3 linked regions of the Lytechinus pictus genome follow. The protein of the gene in region 1 purifies or fractionates together with the protein of each later gene. This does not show direct contact. Links are inferred from orthologs where the notes say so. Each region holds a gene or a part of one and is shown on either strand. Other genes may lie near its edges.

Region 1 (6,975 bases):
AATCTTTCAGGATCTGGATCTGGGCTACCTGGTTGTCCTATGGTAGAAACAAAAAGCAAAATAAAAAAGAATATTATTATATCAATAATTAATTGAATAGTCCTACTAGAATCTGAATATTTTAATTCAATGATATCTACTATGATTTTAGGTATAAGATTCATGAAAGCAATGTGCAGCATAGAGCGCAATGATGCTTAATGACGTTATAATGAACTACAAAAGTCGCATTAATTTGATCCCATGAAGTGAGGCTGTAAATGACACGACTTGCTCAATACAATTCCCCCTTTTTTTGGGGGGGGGGGGTGGGATAGATAATTATGATAATATTGGATGGCTTTATGTCATGGAATACCATAAATATTTCAACTGTTAGAGCCAATATTCCAATTAAATGCACTTCATGTAATATTAGCCCTAACTCTTGGAATATTTCTGGTATCCCATTCTGAGACATCAATTACAATATACTTATTAGTTATTATTATCATAATTACGACTTCATTGTCTTCTGCTACATAATGCAGCAATATCTCCCTGTTATAAAATCATATGAGAGTTATTTATTTCATACCATCTCCAGCTTCCTTTTCTTGCTGACTAGTACTTCTAACATGAGGTTGACTTCTGCTAGATCCCATTTCTCTTGGTCTTGAATAAATTCTTGAACATCAGGTGTAGGACCACCAGTCTAAGAGAAATCAATCAATGTATGTAATAGCCTTGTTCTAATGTTGTTGTTTTTTACATTGAAAATAGCGCATGCTAATATTTGGAAATAGTTCACTAAAAGTTTGAAATCATTAATCTGTATTAAAGCCTTATATTAATATTGTAATCTTCCATGGAAAGTATTTCTAAATACTCTTGAGTGAAAATTTAGCTATTTAAAAACAATATAATGGCCTTTTCAATTTTCCAGTAAAATTAGCGTATTGATAAATCTAAATGCATGATATGGTAATATCCATGGCAAGTGTTTTCAAACAGTGAAAATCTGACTCAATTTTTCAAAATGATATTTAACAATCGATCAGTTGAGAGGAAGACTTTTGCTCACATGTTCCATATTTCTCATTTCATGTAGTATTACAAACAGAATCTCCTTTATAATTCAACCAAACTGAATTAAGGCTGTCATTACTCTTCCCTAAACCAATATGTGATGTCACATCTATACAATAGTTTCAGAATTTGTATTATTCTACAAACAATATAAGTTCTAGCGACCTTTACAGTGAGAAGAATCAGACTGCATTTTATGTAACCATATATTTCCCTGGTAAAGCAATGGAAAAAATTACACAGGGGCTCAGGGTGATTTTGCCCCCAAATGGTCAAAAGAGCTTTGGAAAACCCACATTAGATTGTTTACATAACCTACTGCACAAATCTGTAATATTGGATAAGCTTGTCCAATATTACAGATTTGGGCAGTAGGTTGTGTATAGAAGTCCCTAAAAATGAACTATCAATTTTTTACCTGTGGTAAAGCTACACGTAGAACTTTCGTGAATCTAAGGCTTCTTACCTGAGGGCCAAGTTTTAACCTTTTCTCTTCAACTCTTTGTCTGTACTTCAGAATAAGTTCATTCACTGCAAAGAGAGAGAGAGAGAGAAGAGAGGTAAAAATCAAGATAATATACAGTGTACCAAACAAAGTGAAAACTATGTGTGTTATATCGCATTCACTTTAAAACAATTCCATGATTTATTGATGTCTTTATGTGGGAGCTTCCTAAAAGGATTGTCTCTGTTCTCAAATTCATATGAAAAGTTGTAAAGCTATCAAATCACCGTGAAGTGCCAAAAGGATTGGAGAAATTGGGAGTCTTTTGTACAAGAATAATTATTTTACTGAAATGCAGCTACATGTACATGCAGATTGTAAAATATGAACTCTTTCAAACTTTGATTATCAATTCAAAACATCTAAAATGCATTTCAAAGACCTGTTGACATAAAAATTTACAAGGCAATATGAGTACAGGTACATGCTATTATATGAAAAAGCAAAGCAAATTAGGTTTATATCACTGGTGGTTTTGTTCACCTCCTACATATAATGTGCACAATTAAATAATTCCAATAATTAGTTGCTTTATTGCTTTTTGTCTTTGTGAACTTGGACCATTATGCCCAGTACCCATCTATGGATCTTGTCATAAATATATATTCTCCGTCTTCATTAATATCAAAACAAAACAACTCTAATTACACAAGGCACCTGCCCACAGCCTCCAAGAAACTGTATTGCATGTTGTCACAGAGTCACAAGCAACCTCCAGAAAACTTCTACGGTCACTTATACAACACTGCATTCCTTGCAAACACATTAAACACAGAATAAAGACAATTTGCAAAACCAATAGTGCAGTATAATGCTTTCACCTTGGCTCCCTAATTTAGTCTCCTATCAACTCGTCAACTCGTATGTACAATATCGCATTACCTCGCAATAATGTACAAAACTTACAGGCAAAATTTGGAAATATTTGGTCAGTCTTCTCTATAACAAAATTGCACTTTGGACATCTGTTGCTTGTCTCCAGGCTTCGCAATATACATCTCCGGCTAAGAAAGAAAAAAAAAACATAAAATTTTAAGAACAGAAGAATGTAAGATGTTTGTGCTTTATTCTGTATGTGTGTGGTTATATTACCTGATAACATAACCTGCATAAGAGTGTTTTTTGACAGACATCCATATAATTCATTCATTGTTAAAGTTTCAAATCAATATTAAATGTAATTTATGTTTTATTTTTAATTTGGTCTAATGCGCCTTAAATGGAAGATGCCCTTTCTAAATTATAACTATTGTTATTATATCAGTAATCGTTATTATCATGTAGTCATGGTAGGTACCACAAGAAGTTCAATTGTATTGCCAACAAACATATTAACATGCAATTAGAAAGCTTCACTGATTTCATCTTACCAGAAACTGTGTCCACATCTTGTCATATGCGCCTCCTCAATAACTTCAAAACAGATTGGACTGAAAGATACAATACATGATCTAGAATTAGTAATTTCTCACAGAAGAATGATATTGTAAATTTCCAGGAAAAAGGTATTAATAAATGTGAATGAGAGTGTTAACATGTCTACAAATGTCTCCAAAAGAGACTTTAAAAATTCGATATCACAAAATTCATGAGCATCTATAGGTAAAAGATAAACAAAATTGAGTATAGAAGGGGGTGGTTGAAAACATTCGATATCAAAGCTATCTAAATCTTTGGTAAATGTTCAATTCAATTCATTTTATTATCATGTAATCACTAAAAACATTAAAACTGTTGTGAGACTCTTGATGCATAACATGATGAACAGGAAAGTGCACGTGAAAAAGTATTTATCACATCAGGGACACAAATTACAAATGAATATATCAGAAACAGAAATAATTCAGATAATTTGAATTAGACTAAAGTATCATCAAACATTCTAACATGACTGTTTATTTATTTTTTTAAGTTACAGCATACATGTACAGGTATCTAGTGACCTACATGTAAATGTGTCTTGGAAATATTCTGATTTATATTTTAATGGCCATAGAAATTTGGAGATAATACATGTATATCTTTATGAATCACAAAACAGTACATGTATTGTTGCAACTACTAGAACTTCGCAACAATGGCAACTCCATATCTTTAGAAAGGAAATAAAACTTGTTTTGCATTATGAGGAGGTAAACATCAAGATATGTATATATATATTTATATATATATTTTAATGGATTCATTGTTTATATTAGTCTGCCCACCTGTGTGCTTTGAAACACCTGTATGAAGCGGCTATATTTATATACATTATTATATTTTACATTTCATATAAAATAGTGATTGGGTAAAGTAGGTCTTCTCATATTGACCATGGTGCGCATCGTTTTGTGATATTAAGGAAAACTTTATAACATAACCTTTTTAATTTTACATTTGATTTTGATGAAATTTTCAGTGCTACATGGATACTAGTTTGATTTTTCTCTTTTCATTCAAACCAACTTTTTTGTTGGTGTGGACTTGCTCTTTTTAAGGAAGCATTGAAATCATTAACCACTTTTATAAATGATGGTCTATTTCAAATGCCTCATATCATACTACACATGTAGCAAAACTGAAACTGTCAAGTTTTTCTATTATTAGCCTAGCTGTCTGGTTTAATACTTTATATAAATACATGTACATAGTTAACATTTTTTGTTCATTTCATCTTAAATAGGTACATATAAATTCTTGTTAAACTGCATGGTTGAAGCAAATAGGGGAAAAAATCTATTCACCAAAATGACCCGTATTCTGGTTTAACTTTATTAGACCATGGTCTAACTCTGTGCTGAAATTATGGAAAGCCAAATATGTCAAAATTTTGTGTACATTTTAAGTTTATTGTGTTTACTTTGCTCTTTCTTATAAAGTCTTTGATGGTGGAGTTGACTATATCTTTCACAAACAGTTAAAGGTCAAGTCCACCCCCGAAAAATGTTAATTTGAATCAATATAGAAAAAATTAACAAGCACAATGTTGAAAAATTTCATCAAAATCGGATGTTAAATAAGTTACACATGTATGACATTTTAAAGTTTTGCTTATTATTCACAAAATAGTTATATGCAGAACTCAGTGACATGCAAATGAGAGTTGATGTCCCTCACTCACTATATCTTTTGTTTTTTAATGTTTGAATTATAAAATATTTCAATTTTTACAAATTTGACAATAAGGACCAACTTAACTGAACCATAAATTTTAAAAACAATGGTAATTCCACATATTCAGGGAAAATAAAACTTCTTTTACATTACCATGAGGAGAAAATTAGAATATTTCATATAATAAAATACAAAAGAAATAGTAAGCGGGTGACATCATCAGTCCCCTCATTTGCATACAGACCAGGATGTGCACATAACTGATTTTTCTCTTTTTCTTTAAACAACTTTTTGTTGGGGTGGACTTGTCCTTTAAGAATGATTCGAGAGTCAACTGAGCTGATAACATTGAACCTCTACTGTTAGGAATCGATGCAACAAATTGACTTTCTATAGTTAAACCACAACTTCAGACCACAGTTTGAATTTAACCCAACTTCAGAATACAGGCCATGGAGTTTTTTTTTCAGTTTCTCCTTTGTGTGCAGATGTTCATCTTCAAAAACTTTAAAACTTAATTATCTTACCAATTTATACAAATAAAATGGGCTGGTAAATAGCAGATGTTGCCAATTTGAGGGTTTATCATGTACATGTAGAATTGCACAAACTAAGGTATCACTTGATAATGTGGAAATCAATCTGATAGATATTGCAGTACTGTATATCTGGATGTGTATTAGCCGCATGCCTATTGGGCCTGGGAACGAGGAAGGATTTTTTGGCACAAAAAGCAATCTTCCCAGGGTTCACTCTCGTCACCTCTTGTCACAGTGGGTGGACCAGTGTGGTCAAATACATTTCAATATGGGTATGAAAAAAAAAGGCCCCCCCCCGTGATTTATTGAACGTACCTCCACCATGCCCCATGGAAAGATAAGGTGACAGAAAGAGAGAGAAAGAAGAAGCGAATAGAGTAGAGTACATGCATATACAGATACAGTATCGCTCGAAATAAAGTTGACAGATAACGCACGTGAAACGCGCTAACCAATGTGGGTCTGACTATCGCAATATTCACGCGCGTGAACGTCAGGCCAGTCTGAGGCAGATATCGCCGTGTTCTTGCCGGTGATTCGGCGCACGGCCACGGCCGCGAACTACTGTCTCGAGCTGCGATAATTATCGCGATAGGACTCCAATCAGCGAACCTTTTCTATATCATTCGCAAAGATTATGGGCATAGATTATTTCTTTGAATTACATTTTCGATAACTGATTGGCTTGGAAAACAACTCACATGTAGCGATCAGTGGAATCGCTCTGCTTTAGAATAAGAATCTAGAATCTACTCGGCCGCGCATCACATGCCTGGCCAGGCCAGCAAACAATCTTGGTTCACGTTCCTGGCCTCAGTTCTCCGCCGTACGCGCGCGCCTGCGAAATGAAATGGGTTGATAGACGCTGACTACGAGTTTGTATGCCAGCGCAGCTGTCCCAAGCAAAGTACTTAAATTGTTAACGTTGAAATAGATTACTCACAATCGTCCCTCAGACCATGGACCTATTACATGCTCAGACCCAACCAATAATTATCCATTTTGTTTCTTCCTTCTCCAGCTCTAGCTAGGGTCCGAGTATCTGCCTGATGTTGACTCTTTGCTGGCTGAGCCAAATCTCAAGGCCCGTATTTAGAGTCACATAGCTTTTTGCATCATTATTATTACTACTACTACTATTATTTCTATTATCATTATTATCATAATCATCGATGTTATCATTAATTCTACCACTATACCGGGTTTTTTTTTTCTAATGAGACCCGAGCCCTATAATGGATTGATTTAACTTGCGTGCAATTACACGAATGTAAGCTAAGAATTACCAAAATATGGACCTCTTAAGTGTTAAAAAATAGATTTAGTGATTTTGTTTCAAGCATGATAATTGTTTTGAGGGAATATCACATAATTTACCTCCCTATAATTCTCTCTTTTCTTCCTATTTCTCCACCTACTATGATCCCCGTTATGATAATTTTGTGTTCATTCATTAATAGAGAGTATACTGAAAGAAAGAATAGAAAAACACAATTACAATTATTATTATTTGCAGCTCATCAGTACGATGCAGCATTAACTTAAGTTTACGTTTGAAACAATAATTGAGTGAATAATTCGTCGAATTAGGCAGTCTTTAAATCAGTTTTCTGAGTAACTTACGTGATGACAGTGATGGTTATTATGATCGTGATGACAGTGATGGGTATTATGATCGTGATGATGATATCGAAAAGAAAGGTAATGACGGTGATCATGATGGTGATGATTGTGATTGTAATCCTAACGATGATGGCAATGACAAGA
Region 2 (7,587 bases), on another chromosome or scaffold:
CAACTATTAACCTAATGCATTTATTTTCTAATGATTCTGAAATATACCATTGTGAGGACGGTTAAAGGCCAAGTCCACCCCAGGAAAATGCTGACTTGAATAAATAGAGAAAAGTAAAACTAGCATAGTGCTGAAAATTTCATCAAAATCGGATGTAAAATGAGAAAGTTATGACATTTTAAAGTTTCGCATATTTTTCACAAAACAGCTATATGCACAACTAGGTGAGTCAGTCGATGAGGTCAATCACTCACTATTTCTTTTTTTTTTTTTTTTTTTAATTATACAATATTTCATTTTTTATAGATTTGACAATAAGGACCAACTTGATTGAACCATATAGTACGTATTAAACAATGCTAATTCCACAGGGAGGAATTAATCATTGTATCACTTGACAATGGGGAGAAAATTAGAATATTTTATATTTCATACAATAAGATACAAAAGAAAAAGTGAGTTGGTGACGTCATAGTTTCCTCATTTGCATACCAGCCATGATGTGCATATAACTGTTTTGTGGAATTAAGCGAAACTTAAAAATGTCATAACTTTCTTATTTTACATCCGATTTTGATGAAATTTTCAGTGTTATGCTTGTTAGATTTTTCTCTTCTTATTCAAATCAACTTTTTGTTGGGGTGGACTTGTCCTTTAAGACTTTTGACAGGCCCTTGTTTCTGCTAGCGGGTTCGAACATAATATAAGAGAAATTTCGCTGTTAATCCATCTTTTAAAAATAATCCTTGTTTTAAACGCGGTGTCTCCACTACAACTACTTCGGGCAGATTCAAAGAAGACTCGATGAAGTTATATCGTAAAATAAAATTGAACGTAGTTGTGAAAAATCAATTTCCGCAGTATAAAATAATTTTATTAATAATAAAACTTTTCTTAACTACGTGTGATGGCTTTATACTTCTTAAAGTAACAGAATGGTGTCAAAATGTAGTGAGCAATTAAGGTGACTGGCAATGCTATGTGAAATTAAAAAATATAATGATATAAATACAAATAGATCTCACAACAAATAGTGTGCTGGGTTAATAAAGCATGTTCAGATTCAAAACTCTGTGATTCCTTATAACAATTGAATTTCCAATTTGGCTATTTTCTTTTAACTTGATCAAAGAATTTTGGATAACATTCTGACACTGTCCGTTTCGGGAAGGTTTACACAAACGACCAGGAAAGGGCGATCAATTCGAATAATTCAGTTGACATGTCGACCTACACTCTTAGAAATGTTTTAACTAACCCAAAATTTATTTCAAATATGGACCTACCAACTGTTAGTTGAAAGTTAGTTGAAACAAAATTCCATGCAAAATAATTGGGGTTGTTTTGACCAACAATTATTAGGTTCATATTTGAACGAACTCTTGAGGTGGTAAATCGAATTTCTGAGAGTCTATTTGTAAAGCAAAATCAAATCACCACAGCTTTGTGAAGTTCTTAATGACTTAGGATAATGAAAAACAAAAAATCTACCTCATATGATCTATGCAAACTGTTTTATTTTTTACCATACTGATCGGAATACATACCACCCCCCCCCCCCATGGCGCAACGGGGAGCATGGGGGCACGTGCCCCCCAATCGGCTAGCAAAGGCCAAAAAGGAACCAGGGAAATGGAGAGAAAGAGGGAGAAAGGAAAAGAAACGTAATGGGGAAGAAAAAAATTATTGTTTATTATAATGTTATATTATGTTATAATTATTTTATTTTATATTACATAAGAAACAAATTTTTTCATAACTTTATGAAACAATGTTTTGCTCAGGGCCTATGTTTTCATTGTCCCTGGTGCTCACATTGTCTGTTTAACGAGATATGTAATCCTGTTGTACTAAAACCTCCCGTTTTCAAGTCAATATACACCAAATATTTCATCGCACCTCCAGTTATTATTTTTTATGTAGTGACATATGCTTCTTTTTCATGACTACTTAAAGTGATTGCCCCATTTTAAGGTCTTAATATGAAACATATCCTGTTCGTGCTTACGTTCACACTAGTGGATTGGTGAGATATATCTGCTCCTTTTCATGAATTCCTATAATCAGTCCTTAAAATGTCCCTTTTTCTGATCTGAATATCAAAAATTTTCAGCTCGCGCTTCGCGCTCCCATCATTTTGGTTAGTGAAATAAGTGCGGTCTTCGTGAAATCCTACAAACAATCCTTGAAATGCCTCTTTAGGTCTGAATTTCCTAAATTTTCAGCTCGCGCTTCGCGCTCGCAATATTTGATTAGTGAGATGCATATGTTAATATTGATTACAAAAAATTGCTTATAATGTCCCCTTTTAATGGATTCTTCTTATTATTATTCTTAATATTATTTTAGGTCTGAATATCATTTTTTTTAAGTACGCGCTCGCATTATTTGATCAGTGAGATACATATCCGTTTAATGGCACTGTCCTGAACATGTCTCTATTAGGTCAGTATACCTGGCAACTGAGCGCGCTTCGCGAGCTCACTAAGTGACTCAAAAATTTTGCTGGTGCCCCCCAATGCCGTGACCCAAGGTACGCCATTGCCACTCCCCCCCCCCTTCTTTACACTTAAACTTTAAATAAATACGCAGGGTTTTCGACATGATTGTGACATGCAGCTTCGTATGTATATGATTGACTATCAACAAAAGTTTGCATTCCATGTTCTGAAAGTCCATAACCCATTTTATCCTGAAAAGCTTTTGAGGTTAACATATGTGAAATATGTTTAATATCTGAAAATATAATCATTATGTGCCCGCAGATCCTTCCAGCATGCTTTTCTTTTCATAACAATATTTACCAAAATCCAAGAAACTATGTTTACGGGAAAGCTGCTTGCATGGTACTACAAAATACCAAAATGGCGTTAGGTAAAGACGTGCTCAAAGAATTTCATCTTGCACTTGTCAATAACAAATTTTAAAATGGTGATAAAAGGTTACCCCACTCAACAGAAAAATGTCGCACAAGACTTTGATGTTGAACCAGTGAAAGCAACTCCATTAAAAGTTTACTCAATCAAATTGCAATTACCATAGTTTTTTGTGATTTCCATCAATCAAAATCAACGATTGCGATTGATAGGTAAGGCAAATAAAATTCTGGGAACTGAAAATAGTTAAGTCTTTGAAGGCAACCTCTTTCATAATCTCATCTCATATTAGTTATTTTTATTTTGTAATAAACCCTTTTTTCATAAAAATTGCAATATATAATTAGCCAATGATTTTTCTTTTATTAGATCAAGCATGTCAAACTTATTGATAGGTCGACTACGTTTGTTCTTTGGAGAATTTGGAGGTGGTAATAAATCATTTAAGTATATAATTATATTTTTCATAAACTGTTTATGTTGAAGAATAGACACAATAGCTATGTAATGGTGGTTTTATGAATTTTAGACATAATTATGCACGTACGGGACACTTTGCAATATGCATTGTATTTAATAATAAATAAAGGGGGAATACTTCGTTATAGCCTATATACGGAGCATATTTTCTGTGTTTTTGAATACTTATTAAACTCTCGTTCTTATTCACCAAAGAAGAAGTATTCAATATTGATGATATCTTGATCATGATATATGACAAATATAATTTCAGTCAGCAAAAATTAAATGGTCCCATAAAAATCTATTCCCAATCGTGCAATTAATGTCAAGTCTTGTTCATTGTGTTTCGAGTAATGTTTTTGTCCCATGATTATCGTAACACAATTGAAAAACAAAAGGATTATATAATTTAAAGAAACTATAAACAAAATTCTTAATAATACTTCTAAAAAGAATTTGATTCAAATACAAAATCATTCCGTCAGAAAATAAGAATGAACGAGATGGATATTGTTTTTATTTAGCAAAAATATATTATTTTAGACCTTGGCAATGGGACAGTTAAGTAGAGGTGCCGTGGCCGAGTGGGCTAAGGCGCCTGGCTATGCATTTGCTTTTAATAGACTCCATTCATTTTGGAAAAACATGTGAACAATACGACACCCATTTACAAATTCAATGCAAATATTCCAAATGTTGATCTACAGCTCTCGATTTCCTAATTCCTTTCTGTTTTTATTTTTAACTCAAATCTTGCATTAAGTTGTTTCAATGTATTCAGTTTATTTAATATCATGGCATAACGTTATATCCCCCTCCCCTCCGCGTGACACGCAGACAAATGTATTAGGAATATGATCTCAAATGAAAGTGATGAAATATAAGAAAACATTTTTTTAATGTTTTAGTAGGGCCTATCGCTAGTTCGTTTCTTCCTGAAAAACTTGTTTTTTCGCTTGGAGTTCATCTTTGGTTTATGTTTTGTGTGCTGTATTTGTGTTAGAATTTGGGGCAAGTTGGGGTTTATTGTGTACGTGTTTTTTTTTCTTATTTTTTGTTGTTGTTGTTGTTCTTTTTACAACAGAAATTGCACACCCAACTCTCAGTGCACTTTTTTTTCCAACTGAGATATCCCACATGTTTATGAGCACCGTCTACCAGTCTTCACCACCAACCACTGACCAACGCTACGCTAACGAACACTTGCTGCCCTCTACGTTCGTTGGTCTTCATCAATTTCTATCAAGCTAAGGAGTACTCATACTACTTGAGCTTGGCCTTGGTAGTCTGCACAATTTAAGTTGAAGTGGCTTTGATTTTACACTGCGAACATGGATGCTAATCGATTTTTCAGGAGATATTCATCATAACTAAGCCAAGAATTCTTCATTGTTGTATTAAGATGCAAAATTCAGCAATAGATGGAATGAGCAATGAGGTACGCTGATTGCAAATGAGAAGCAAGTCAAGTGCCGTGCCCCACATGTCTATATTCGTGTAAGTATACATGCATAAGTGCATGAAAAGGCGCTATCCCTATGGACGGTCTCACTAAGTTTACTTCTCTCTCATTAATAAGACTAAGAGACATAGTCAGATGTAACTTATGATGAATTGGTAGTGTTTTTTTTATTATTGGATAATGCTGTAAGTCGAAGCTGTGATCGGCGGCGAAGCACACCGAATGATAAATTGCCAATTTTCATTTTCAATCGTCATTCCATATCTGCACAGAATATAGGAATTTCGAGCCGTTGTTTATCTCGAAGTTTGGGGATTTTTTTGTCGGGATATGTTTAAAGTGTTTTGAGGTGCTAGCTATTTATATATTTAAGGAAAGAACTCTTGTTTTCTGAAAAAGAAGTGTACATGTTTCTGTAGAAGACACATTTTCGTAGACTAGAGTCAGAACCACTCACACAACATGCGAGGTTAGTATACTAACCTCGCACAACACATGTGATTTCATAGTGCATTTTGACGTTTTCATTCATCACACGAATGTGAGGGACTAAACTACGCCAAACCTTTCAATATTTGTCCACTATGTTAATTTTGATCGTATGGTTTAAGTTTTTTAGAAAAAGAAATTATAAATTATTTATTAAAGTGTTTTTATCGCTTACCTCCAAATCTCAACCAGGATACTTCGCTCGGTCCGTCCTTAGTCATCCTTCGTACTGCGGTGGAAATTACGCAAACAACAATCGAAATGCGAAATTTTCCTATCGAACATTCTCGATTCAAGTCGTCGGCGCATAATAGGAAATTGTACCAAAAATCAACATAGTTCTCTATTTATTCAAACAATTTTTTCTGGGGTGCACTTGACCTTTAAGAGATTTTCCAATGAAAATATTACATGGAACTTGGAAATACAAATCATAATTTGGTTGAACAAAATGTTTTCTGTTAAAGTATAAAACAGAAGAGGAACATATCCTTCACGTATTTTTATATCCAAAATATGTTGCCTTAGTATGGAATAATCACAATGACATAAAATGAAAATGGGTAAAGTACCTTCCTAATGATCATTGAGATTTCGCCTATGGAATCATTGTTTAATAATTTTCAAAGCTTTAAATAGATGAAAATGTTCATTGAGAAAATATACATTTATATATATGAACAAAATGATAATGTCCCGATTGTTTCGCATTACGTGTGTTAGATTGCGGGCGTTTGTGTGTGTGTGTAGGAAGCAAGATATTCGTGTTAATGTTTGCACAAAAAAGGAGAGGGAAAGGGAAAGGAAAAGGGGAGGGGGAAAGGTAGAGGAGAGAGAGGGAAAAGGAGACCATAAAATAGAAAGAAAACAAAGGAAAGGAAGAGGGGAAGGGAGAGAGAAAGAAAAATGGAAAGAGCGAGAAAAGAGTAGGGGAGGGAGAAAGGAAAGAAAAGAAGGGAAAGGAAAAAGGGAGAAAGGGAATGGAGGGGGCGGGAAAGGAAAGGAGAGACAATAAAAGACAGATCAGGGGAGGGGGAAAAGTAGAGGAGAGAGAGGGAAAAGGAGACCATAAAATAGAAAGAAAACAAAAGAAAGGAAGAGGGGAAGGGAGAGGGAAAGAAAAATGGAAAGAGCGAGAAAAGAGTAGGGGAGGGAGAAAGGAAAGAAAAGAAAGGAAAGGAAAAGCGAAAAAGGGAAGGGAAAGGGAGAGAAGAAAAGAAGGGAGAAGACGAAAATGGGGAAAGGGAGAAGGAGAGGGGATGATGAAGGGGATAGGAAAATGTCAAGTTTGAAGATCTGCATATTAACACTAAAACAAAATTAGACTCCCATGTTTTATTTATAAAAATACCTTCTTTTTCATGATTATAAAGGTTCAAATGCCCTCGCATTATTTTTCATTTAGATACAGTCCTGTCATCAATATCAATAACTCTAAGCGCGAGCTTCGCGCTGGCATCATTTTTGTAAGTGACATTTATGATGTTGTTCATATTTTAAAAATGTCCATTTGTTGAGGTTTAAATGTCCAAAAGTTCAGCGCTCGCATAATTTGTAAGGTAAATAGGCCTACCCTTTTAATTGTTATACAAAGGCGCTTATACAACGTCCAGAATGCAGTTCGGAATATTGAAAATAACTAAAATAAAATATGATGAAAAAGTATCGTTAAGACTGAATTAAGAAAAAAAGAAGCTCACGTTTCACGCTCGCATTTTGATCCGTTAGCTTGTGATAATAATGGTGACTTTGTTAATATATCTTAGCGGACATGTCCACCTTTTGGTGCTTCAAGAAAAATAAACACAACACACAAATAATAATAGAAAACGAACAAGAATAGAATAGATAGTTACCTATCCCCCTATCCCACTCATGAATTCTTATTTAAAAGTCCCCAAAACGTCTTTTTTTCGTGTTAGCTTATTTCATATACATATATATATATATATATATATATATATATATATATACAGTGCGTCCCAAAAAAAACTATACACTTTTGAAATGGCTGCCAAATAAAAAGTATATCACTTTGGGGGAAAAGACATATATATATGGAAAGCCGATAAAGTCGTCTTTCAAATGACACCAAAATGTTGGAAAACTATTCATGCTTGAGTGAGCACTACCCGCTTAAACAAAGGGTATGAAAATTAGGGTGGGCAGGAATTAGCCTTTCGGTTTCTTTCAGTTTTTGAGAGGCGAGTCCCTTGGAACTTGCAAACTGGAGGGTTTTCTGATGAATTGATGGTCATTCATTATCAATTTAAATTGTTAGAGCAAATTTCATGAATT
Region 3 (7,965 bases), on another chromosome or scaffold:
TGGGCAAGCTAGCCATCGTCGGGCCTATATGGATCCGCGCATGTTCATTGTCTTCTTAAAGTTATCTTTAAGCCTAACTTAAAGGACAAGTCCACCCCAACAAAAAGTTTATTTTAGTAAAAAGACAAAAATCCAACAAGCATAACGCTGAAAATTTTATCAAAATCGGATGTGAAATAAGAAAGTTATGACATTTTAAAGTTTCGCTTAATTTCACGAAACAGTTATATTCACATCCTGATCGGTATGCAAATGAGGAGACTGATTACATTATCCACTCACTATTTCTTTTGTATTTTATTATATGAAATATTCTAATTTTCTCCTCATTGTCAAGTGAAACAACGGGTATTTCCCCCATGCTCATGTGGAATTAGCATTGTTTAATATATTTTATGGTTCAGTCAAGTTGGTTCTTATTGTCAAATCTGTAAAAAATGAAATATTGTATAATTCAAACAATAGAAAACAAAAGAAATAATGAGTGAGGGACATCATTGACTGTTTCATTAATTTGTATGTCATTGAGTTGTGCATATCGCTGTTTTTTAAAATAAGCGAAACTTTTAATATGTCATAACTTTGTTATTTTACATCCGATTTTGATGAAATTTTCAGCGTTATGCTAGTTTGATTTTTTTTCTATTTTTTCAATCAACATTTTTCTGGGGTGGACTTGACCTTTAAGAACCTAGATGAACCTGTCAACAAGAATTATTACTTGCCACATCATATTTATATTCATCATGTTCAGTTATCTTGTGAGAAATCAAAATCTTTTCTTTTTGCCCCCCCCCCCTTCGAAGATTCCGACAGGGAATCGCGCGATCGTGACGAAAATTGGCAAGAGGGTAGAGAATGACATAATCTACGCGATATAGGTTATAATTGCAATAAATCTATACATTTTATACGAATAGTTATGTTAAACAATTTATGAAATCATACTTTTTGCTATAACGGTTCTAGAAGGCTAACTTTTGACGAAAATCATGGCCCTGGGAAGCGGGGGTGCTGGGGTGCTGAAGGCCTGAAGCACCATAAAAAATGTCCTTGGGGTGCTGCGTATATTATTCTGCATAGGGAGCACCCCAAGGTATTATAGAAGATGTGTAAAGAATTGAAAAATGTAACCAAAATGACCTTCACTTTAAATGAAAAAAATCTGATACCAAACTCGAATTCTTATGTAGGCCTATTTCTTTTTAAATGTCTAAGATGTCTTTGTTTTATGTTCTTTTTATTATTTTTTTTTTATACAAAATCCGTCCGTGATATTGTTTCGGCCATCAATAGTATATCAAATTATAAGACTGCTTTCAATTAAAGTAAACATGGCCGTTCACAGATTTTTTGCGGGGGGGGGGGGAATGTGTTAACTTTTTCGAAAAAAAAATGAAAGCGAGCGTATGAAGCAACCAAGCTTGTCATTGGGGGCACTTTAGCATTTTGTAAAGTGAAAATAAAGGATTTCGTGCATACTTTGGGTGAATTTGGGAAAATTTTCAGTAAAAGATGTAAATTGTCAAAGTTTCGGGGTGAGGGGCAAGTGCCCCTGCCTCCGCTGCATGCAGTCATTTGAGTAGTTGTTACTTGGGAATTTTAGCTGGAAAACGCTTTGTATTGACTTTGAAATTACGTTTTTGAGCAATTTTTGGTTTGACATGCTCTTACATAATAATTTTTTATAATGTTGTGTAATTTCTAAACCGCGTACCCGGGCGTCACAAATTTGGTCTCAAAGAAACGTTGCGCGAGACTTGATAGTAGAAATCAACTTTGTCATCCTTTAATTTACCCCACCCCACTTCCCCTATTTATTAGTAGGCCTAATCAGTGGCGGGTCCCGGGGTGCATAGCCGGCCCGTGTTCCCCCTTTTGGGAGCCAAAATCAAAATTTATAATGTAAATATTCCGTTTTACTCAAGTGTGCCCCCCCCCCCCTTCCGAACCGCGGACGAAATGACCTTCAATTTTTGGTAAAAACTTTTTTTTTCCTTTTTTTTCTTGTCAAATTTTCATCGGGAAAATATCATTGTGCCCCCCCCCTTTTGGAAAATCCTGGATCCGCCCCTGGGCCTGATAATAATAATAATAATGATAATAATAATAACAACAACAATTTGCATTTATAGCGCCATCTATTCGGAGTTCATATTCTATTCAAGGTCTCACAAGAGACTGAAAGAAAGAATAAGAGTTTGGATGAGTGTCCTTTACATTGCGTATAAAAAAACGGGGCAGATTTGAAAAGTCTTTAAATTTTTTATTTCTTATTATGATGTCTATATTATTTTGGTGTTAATAGGTGCTCTGAAGTCGTATCTTTCAAATGCTATTAAAAAATTAGTTTCGTTCATGCTTGGCCGAACACGGAATGTTTTGTCTGGGGTTAAAAAGGAGGCTTGCGCCAAAATGGCATAAAATAATAAATATGATGATCGGACTTCTTGCTAATCAGCAGACTTCCTCTTAACCTTTTCATTATCTTTGCCATAATTTTCGAATTATGAGGTCAAAATTCATTTTCAAATCTGTTTGTTTGCTTGAATTGTTCTGTTGTTGTTTCTTTTTTATGTTCTCTAAGCTTTGAATATTCCTTCTTTAAGTAAACACAAAAATTATTCAACCGAAGTATGGGAGAGCGTGTATTTTTTTTCACATCTTTCATTGTGTACTACAAAGGTTATGGTGCCTTTGAACAGTGGCATACAGATGGGTGGGGGCTCAGGGGTGCCCCCAAATAAAAAAAATCGTGGCCAGAAATAAATTGAAAGGAAATAAAGGAAAAGATAGAACGTGAAATATGATTAATTTATTTTTTGATATTATGTCAAAATCTAACACAAAATTTGATATTTTAATAAAAAAGTGGAAATTTTGAGTTCTCGCTTTACTCGCTCACAATTTTTTAATATATTTTATCCGATCTGCCATATCTAGCTCCTTCAAAATTGACTCAATACACCATTGCCATTGAAAGACATGAATCCTTTCCTCTTTGTCCTGTCCAGCACATAACCCCTTGAAAATAGGATTAATGTTTTTTAAAGGTACCATAACATATAATTCGTTTCACATAATAAAAGGATTTAAATAATTACAAGTTCTCCCAATTAATAATGCAAATCTTCTTGCTTGGGTTGACAAAAGTTCTTCTTTTTCTTTCTTATGAATTAAAATTCAAAGGTAAAAGAAGTTTAAATGAAAAAAAACCAAAATAATTCAAGTAAATAAGTAATTTTTTAAAGTGAAATTTGACAGCACAATTCGAAAATCATGGCAAAGATAATAAAAATATTAAGAGGAAGTCTGCTGCAAGAAGTCTGATCATCAAATTTCTATTTTTTTACCATTTTGGCGCAAGCCTCTTTTTGAACCCCAGACAAAAACATTCCGTGTTCGCTCAAGCATGAACGAAACTAACTTTTTAATGGAGAATATGGACCCATCTTTAAGGCCAGTATTTAAAAAATGGGGCCATGGACCCATGTTTAAGGCCAGTATCTAAAAATTGGGGGCATGTTTAGGGATTTTCCAGCATAAAACCATACCCATGCATGTTTAGGGAATTCTTCCAAAAAGCGACCCATTCCAGCGGCACATCCCCGTATGCCTTATTTCGTGAGTATATACCCTCCCCCCCCCCCCCCGGGGGTGGGTCTGTTCTTTCTGACGTGTTTTGTATGTTCCCTTTTCTTTTGTTTTCCCTTTATTCTCTTAATCTCCCTCTCTGTTCTTATTTTCCATTTCCCCTTCAACTTATCTTTCCCTCTTATGTAGGCGTATATTTCTCTCCCCCCTTCCCCTTTTCCTCTTCGTGGCGTGAATGTAAGCGGTGGGGTCATACCCTTTTTTTACAAAAAAAGTCCTATCCCATACAGCAAGGCAGTCAAGAGTGTATGATGAGATGACTTTGATCAAATCAAGCCGCTCTTCCCGTTTCTTTGTGTTTATGTTTCCAACGCCTCGTCCAGTGGTCGCGAGCTGAAAATATTTAATATTTCGATCTGAAAACTATACATTTTAGGTACAATATGAAATAAAGTAAAGATGTGTATTCAATGAACAATTTTGATAATTCAGTTTATCTTTTTCCTGACTCGGAAGGGAACCTGTGAAGAATTATTAATTTTGTTTAAGATTAAAAAATTGCCATTCCCCCTCTTATTTTCGTCACATTTCTTTTGTTTGTTTTTTCCGTTCTCTTTTTTTGGCTCTTCATTCCAGCTCATCTTTTGTTTCTTCATTCCATTTCTACTTTTCTTTGTCTTCTCTCTCTCTCTCTCTCTTTCGCTTTGCCCCATAGGGCCGTAGATCCGCCTATCCCTTCCCATTATCTTTTCAATTCTAATGATATCTATATAGTGCAAACATACCTCCATGGTACAAAGGGGTTTAAGGGCTTTGAGACTCATATATTCAAATTTTGTTGAAAAAAAATCAGTGATATTTCTTCCCCTCGAGTTTAAGTTTGTCTTTTCTCCCCGCTTTTCTCTCCTTCATTTACTTTTCATTCCACTTATCATGCTAGCTCTCTCTCTCTCCCTTCCTTTTCTTTCTCCTCTCCCCTAAATTTCTTTTTCTTCTTTTCTTCTCCTTTATTTCTCTCTTCCCTCCTCATGATCCCTTCCCTTCTTTTTTTTCTCCTCAGTTTTCTCTCTCCTTTCCTTTCTTTTAATTCCTTCTCTATATCCTCTCTCCCCGCCCCTCTCTCTTTTCTTATAGAGGGATGCGTGCCGGGGTGCATGTTAGCTAAATCCTGGAGCTAAATAATACGGAGTTTATATATCTCTATAGAATAATGTGACCTATAATGCCCAACGTATAAGGATGTTCGTTTTCCAAATATGGTGTGTCGGATGACAACTCATCGCTGCGTCATCATGTCACGTAGTATTTCGCAATCATTGTTTGCATAGCTTGAATTGGGTTTCGTTGCTTGTGTGTAATAATTCGGATACGCGCGCGTAAGCGCGTTTTGCGCTCGCAAAGTTTTATTTTGCAATCAAAATGGCACCGACGGAGTCCAATTAGCCGCCTTTGGCTCTCGAATTTTCAGAGACCATCCACTGAGCAGGGTAAAGGCGTCGTTAGAAAGCATCTAACGGTGCTTAGCAAATATCACTCTGGAGTCTCAACTTTTGGCAGAGAAGGAAACAATTTGGAATTCGATAAATCACCCTGACAAAAAAATTTACAGAGTCCGTCATCACTCAGCATTGTGCAACCTATTTCGTGGCATAGAGAGACAACGTTACGACGCCCTGCATTGCAATTGCATTGATCAGATTCGGATTGGTATTGCGTCATTCGATGAATTGTGTATTATTTACACGTTTACAATATCAAGCAAGCACATCTTACCGTCTTCAACACAAGCTTTGACGTTAGCTGGACTAGCGACTCAGCTCCGAACACGACGGCTGGATCTGTTATTTATGTTTTTCTTGGACTTGCCCTAGAAATTGAATTGTGAAGCTGAACTTCCTGAACTGAAGACAACTTGACAAGTGAACTGAAATTCCATATGAATATTGGCAGGACCAATTCAGTGTGTTTTTAATAAAATTGAGAGGATCTGGACCTCTTCATTGTCTTGAATGATTTTAATTCCATTTTCCAGCGCAGCTGAATCAGATATTTGGCAGTTGCCAATATTTTGCTATCTATTTCACGTAAATAATATCAGAGACTTCTCTTAAAGTAAAAGTAAATCTCAGGGTTGTTGAAAAGGAGCATCTAACTCTAGTAATTTAATCTAGGCCTAACTAACTTTCCTAAGTGCTGCTAATGTTATATTAAGCAGCATCATTCATCGGTGTGTTAAGAAGCCAGGAGGCCCAGGACACAACTACGGAGAAAGATACACGGCCGAAAGTATACTGGAATAAACCTGTGAACTATTGAAGTGAATTTTGCTTTTAACCATAGTAGATACAAACAACTACAAACCAAAAGAGTAGCCTAAAGTTCTAGTGTAGCACTGTTGATGTAAAAAACAACTAGCAAAATTTTGTTTCTCTTTTTGGTCAGAGGTTTAATTTGCTGAGCTTGAATCGGGTCAGAGAGGAATCAGAAATAAATTGTCACTTGATGAACAATTTTGCATCTGCCCCTATTCCGATCCATCATGGTCGGGGTAAATTTCAAATATTTCAGGACGTTTCTTCCGAATCAACTGGTGGACAATTGAGTCCTCAGCCACAACTTTCCCCGAGTCCGCCAAGTTTTGTATCCAGTGAGGATCATGTAGTCTCGAGAATTGGAAATTATGTTCTCCTGGAGGAAGTAGCTCCGAAAGTAAACAAGTGTATTGATACTTTAAATAACAAAGAATGCATTTGTAAGGTGAGCTCAGAAGATTTTGTAATTAAGGTTTTTTTTTTATGGGCAGTCCTTCTTCCTTCAATGTCGAAGCTTAACAGCAATACAGAATTCTTATCTACCCCTTTAGGAAATGTACTGTAAAGAGTTACTCCAAGCTGAAAGAAATGTGATTTGAACTAGTGTTGAACAGAAAAAGTAGAATCAGACCAATAGAATTTTCACTGAAAATTTCATTAAACAAGGAAAACAACTTTTGAAAAACTCAAGTTTGTCATAACTTCAGTCAGTGTATCAATTTACATTGTAAGTCTTCATAAGTACATGCATGATGTAACAATGAGCAAGCTTATCATTTCATCTCCCCACTTTTTCTTCGTAGTTCTGTTTATTATATGAATTTATCTAAAATTTGTGCTCTATGAATGTAGATGATCATCGCTCCAACATGTACACAGGCATCAGGAAAGATTGGTGCTAACAGTTCGTCAATGGCTGTCATATGTACACATACATGTAGGTTAACGTTTGAGGCTGGTAAAGTCCAGGCCAATTCCCGTATTTGGTGCGTGTCACATCATAGTTCTATAAATATACTAGTAATGCAAAATTTGTGTTGCTATAATAAGTACTCGGGCAGGTGCAATGGATGAGATTAAAAGGAAAGTGATTGGGGTTGACAATACTTTCTCTTTCACCATGGTAAAAAAACGTTTTATTACTCTTATCTACATGTACATGTAACTCAATGATTAGCATTTTATTCAAGACAGGTTTCTTAAGTCTTAAAAACTCAATAAGTGGTAAATATAGCCTTCAACCTATCCAGATACGAGAATCCTCATATCTTGGATTATGATGTATAGTTTGTATACCGTTTTCAATATACATGTATTCACATCATTGAAATTTGACAATATTGTGATATCGTCATTTATACAGACCTACTGTACATGTCATGTATACTGCAACAATTCATACAAATATGATGATTTTGTTCTTATTCTTGTTAATACAGGTAGTGGATGTGGATAAATACCGGGAGGCATTTGCTGTACACTTTCACTTAGGCTATCATCCCCATATTAACCATGTTGAAGAGGTGTTGCATGGTCAAAGTCAGGCGTATGTCATCTTGCCCATCACCCATGGAGACATGCACTCCTATGTCAGGCGGAAGCGCAAGCTGCGAGAGCGGGAGGCTGCCTCCCTCTTTCATCAGATGGTGCAAGCCGTTGCTCACTGCCATGCCCATGGCGTCATCCTGCGGGACCTGAAGCTGCGCAAGTTTGTCTTCAAGAAAGAAGAAAGGTATTGCACAGTGTCAAATCTGTCAAATGTCAAGGCTTTTACTATTCTCTTGATTTATTGACACAAAGTACATTTGAGATTTGACTCACTTGAGGATAATATCTATCAGTTGTTGTCTTCTAATGTCAGTCTAAATCGATGGGAAACCCAATTATGTTACACTGTACTTGTAATAGAAAAAATCAATTCAATACAAAAGCATTTCATAATTGTTAGAAAGTACTGGTAATCTATTATTGCCATTTATGTAATACACAGTTACATGTTAGGTTGCAGGGTAAAGGATGATTCAGGTCAATAATCTTATGTATTACTATCATAATTACC

Evidence for each region.
Region 2: the proteins of E3 ubiquitin-protein ligase COP1-like (region 1) and DET1 homolog purify together in Homo sapiens (affinity purification with western blotting; 11 studies listed by BioGRID and IntAct, counting the BioPlex papers as one, with this or other methods). This does not show direct contact. The link is inferred for Lytechinus pictus from reciprocal best matches to the Homo sapiens genes COP1 and DET1.
Region 3: the proteins of E3 ubiquitin-protein ligase COP1-like (region 1) and tribbles homolog 2-like purify together in Homo sapiens (affinity purification with mass spectrometry; 4 studies listed by BioGRID and IntAct, counting the BioPlex papers as one, with this or other methods). This does not show direct contact. The link is inferred for Lytechinus pictus from reciprocal best matches to the Homo sapiens genes COP1 and TRIB2.

Annotation. Positions count from the first base shown.
Region 1 is NC_087259.1:28,175,116-28,182,090, forward strand, and holds the start of E3 ubiquitin-protein ligase COP1-like, read right to left. Parts: upstream 3,006-6,975; 5' UTR 2,970-3,005; coding exon 2,944-2,969; intron 2,578-2,943; coding exon 2,480-2,577; intron 1,600-2,479; coding exon 1,535-1,599; intron 695-1,534; coding exon 578-694; intron 38-577; coding exon 1-37. UniProt on the Homo sapiens protein: E3 ubiquitin-protein ligase that mediates ubiquitination and subsequent proteasomal degradation of target proteins.
Region 2 is NC_087249.1:4,384,715-4,392,301, forward strand, and holds the start of DET1 homolog, read left to right. Parts: upstream 1-4,576; 5' UTR 4,577-4,835; intron 4,836-7,587. UniProt on the Homo sapiens protein: Component of the E3 ubiquitin ligase DCX DET1-COP1 complex, which is required for ubiquitination and subsequent degradation of target proteins. The complex is involved in JUN ubiquitination and degradation.
Region 3 is NC_087245.1:26,667,761-26,675,725, forward strand, and holds the start of tribbles homolog 2-like, read left to right. Parts: upstream 1-4,954; 5' UTR 4,955-6,096; coding exon 6,097-6,351; intron 6,352-7,345; coding exon 7,346-7,638; intron 7,639-7,965.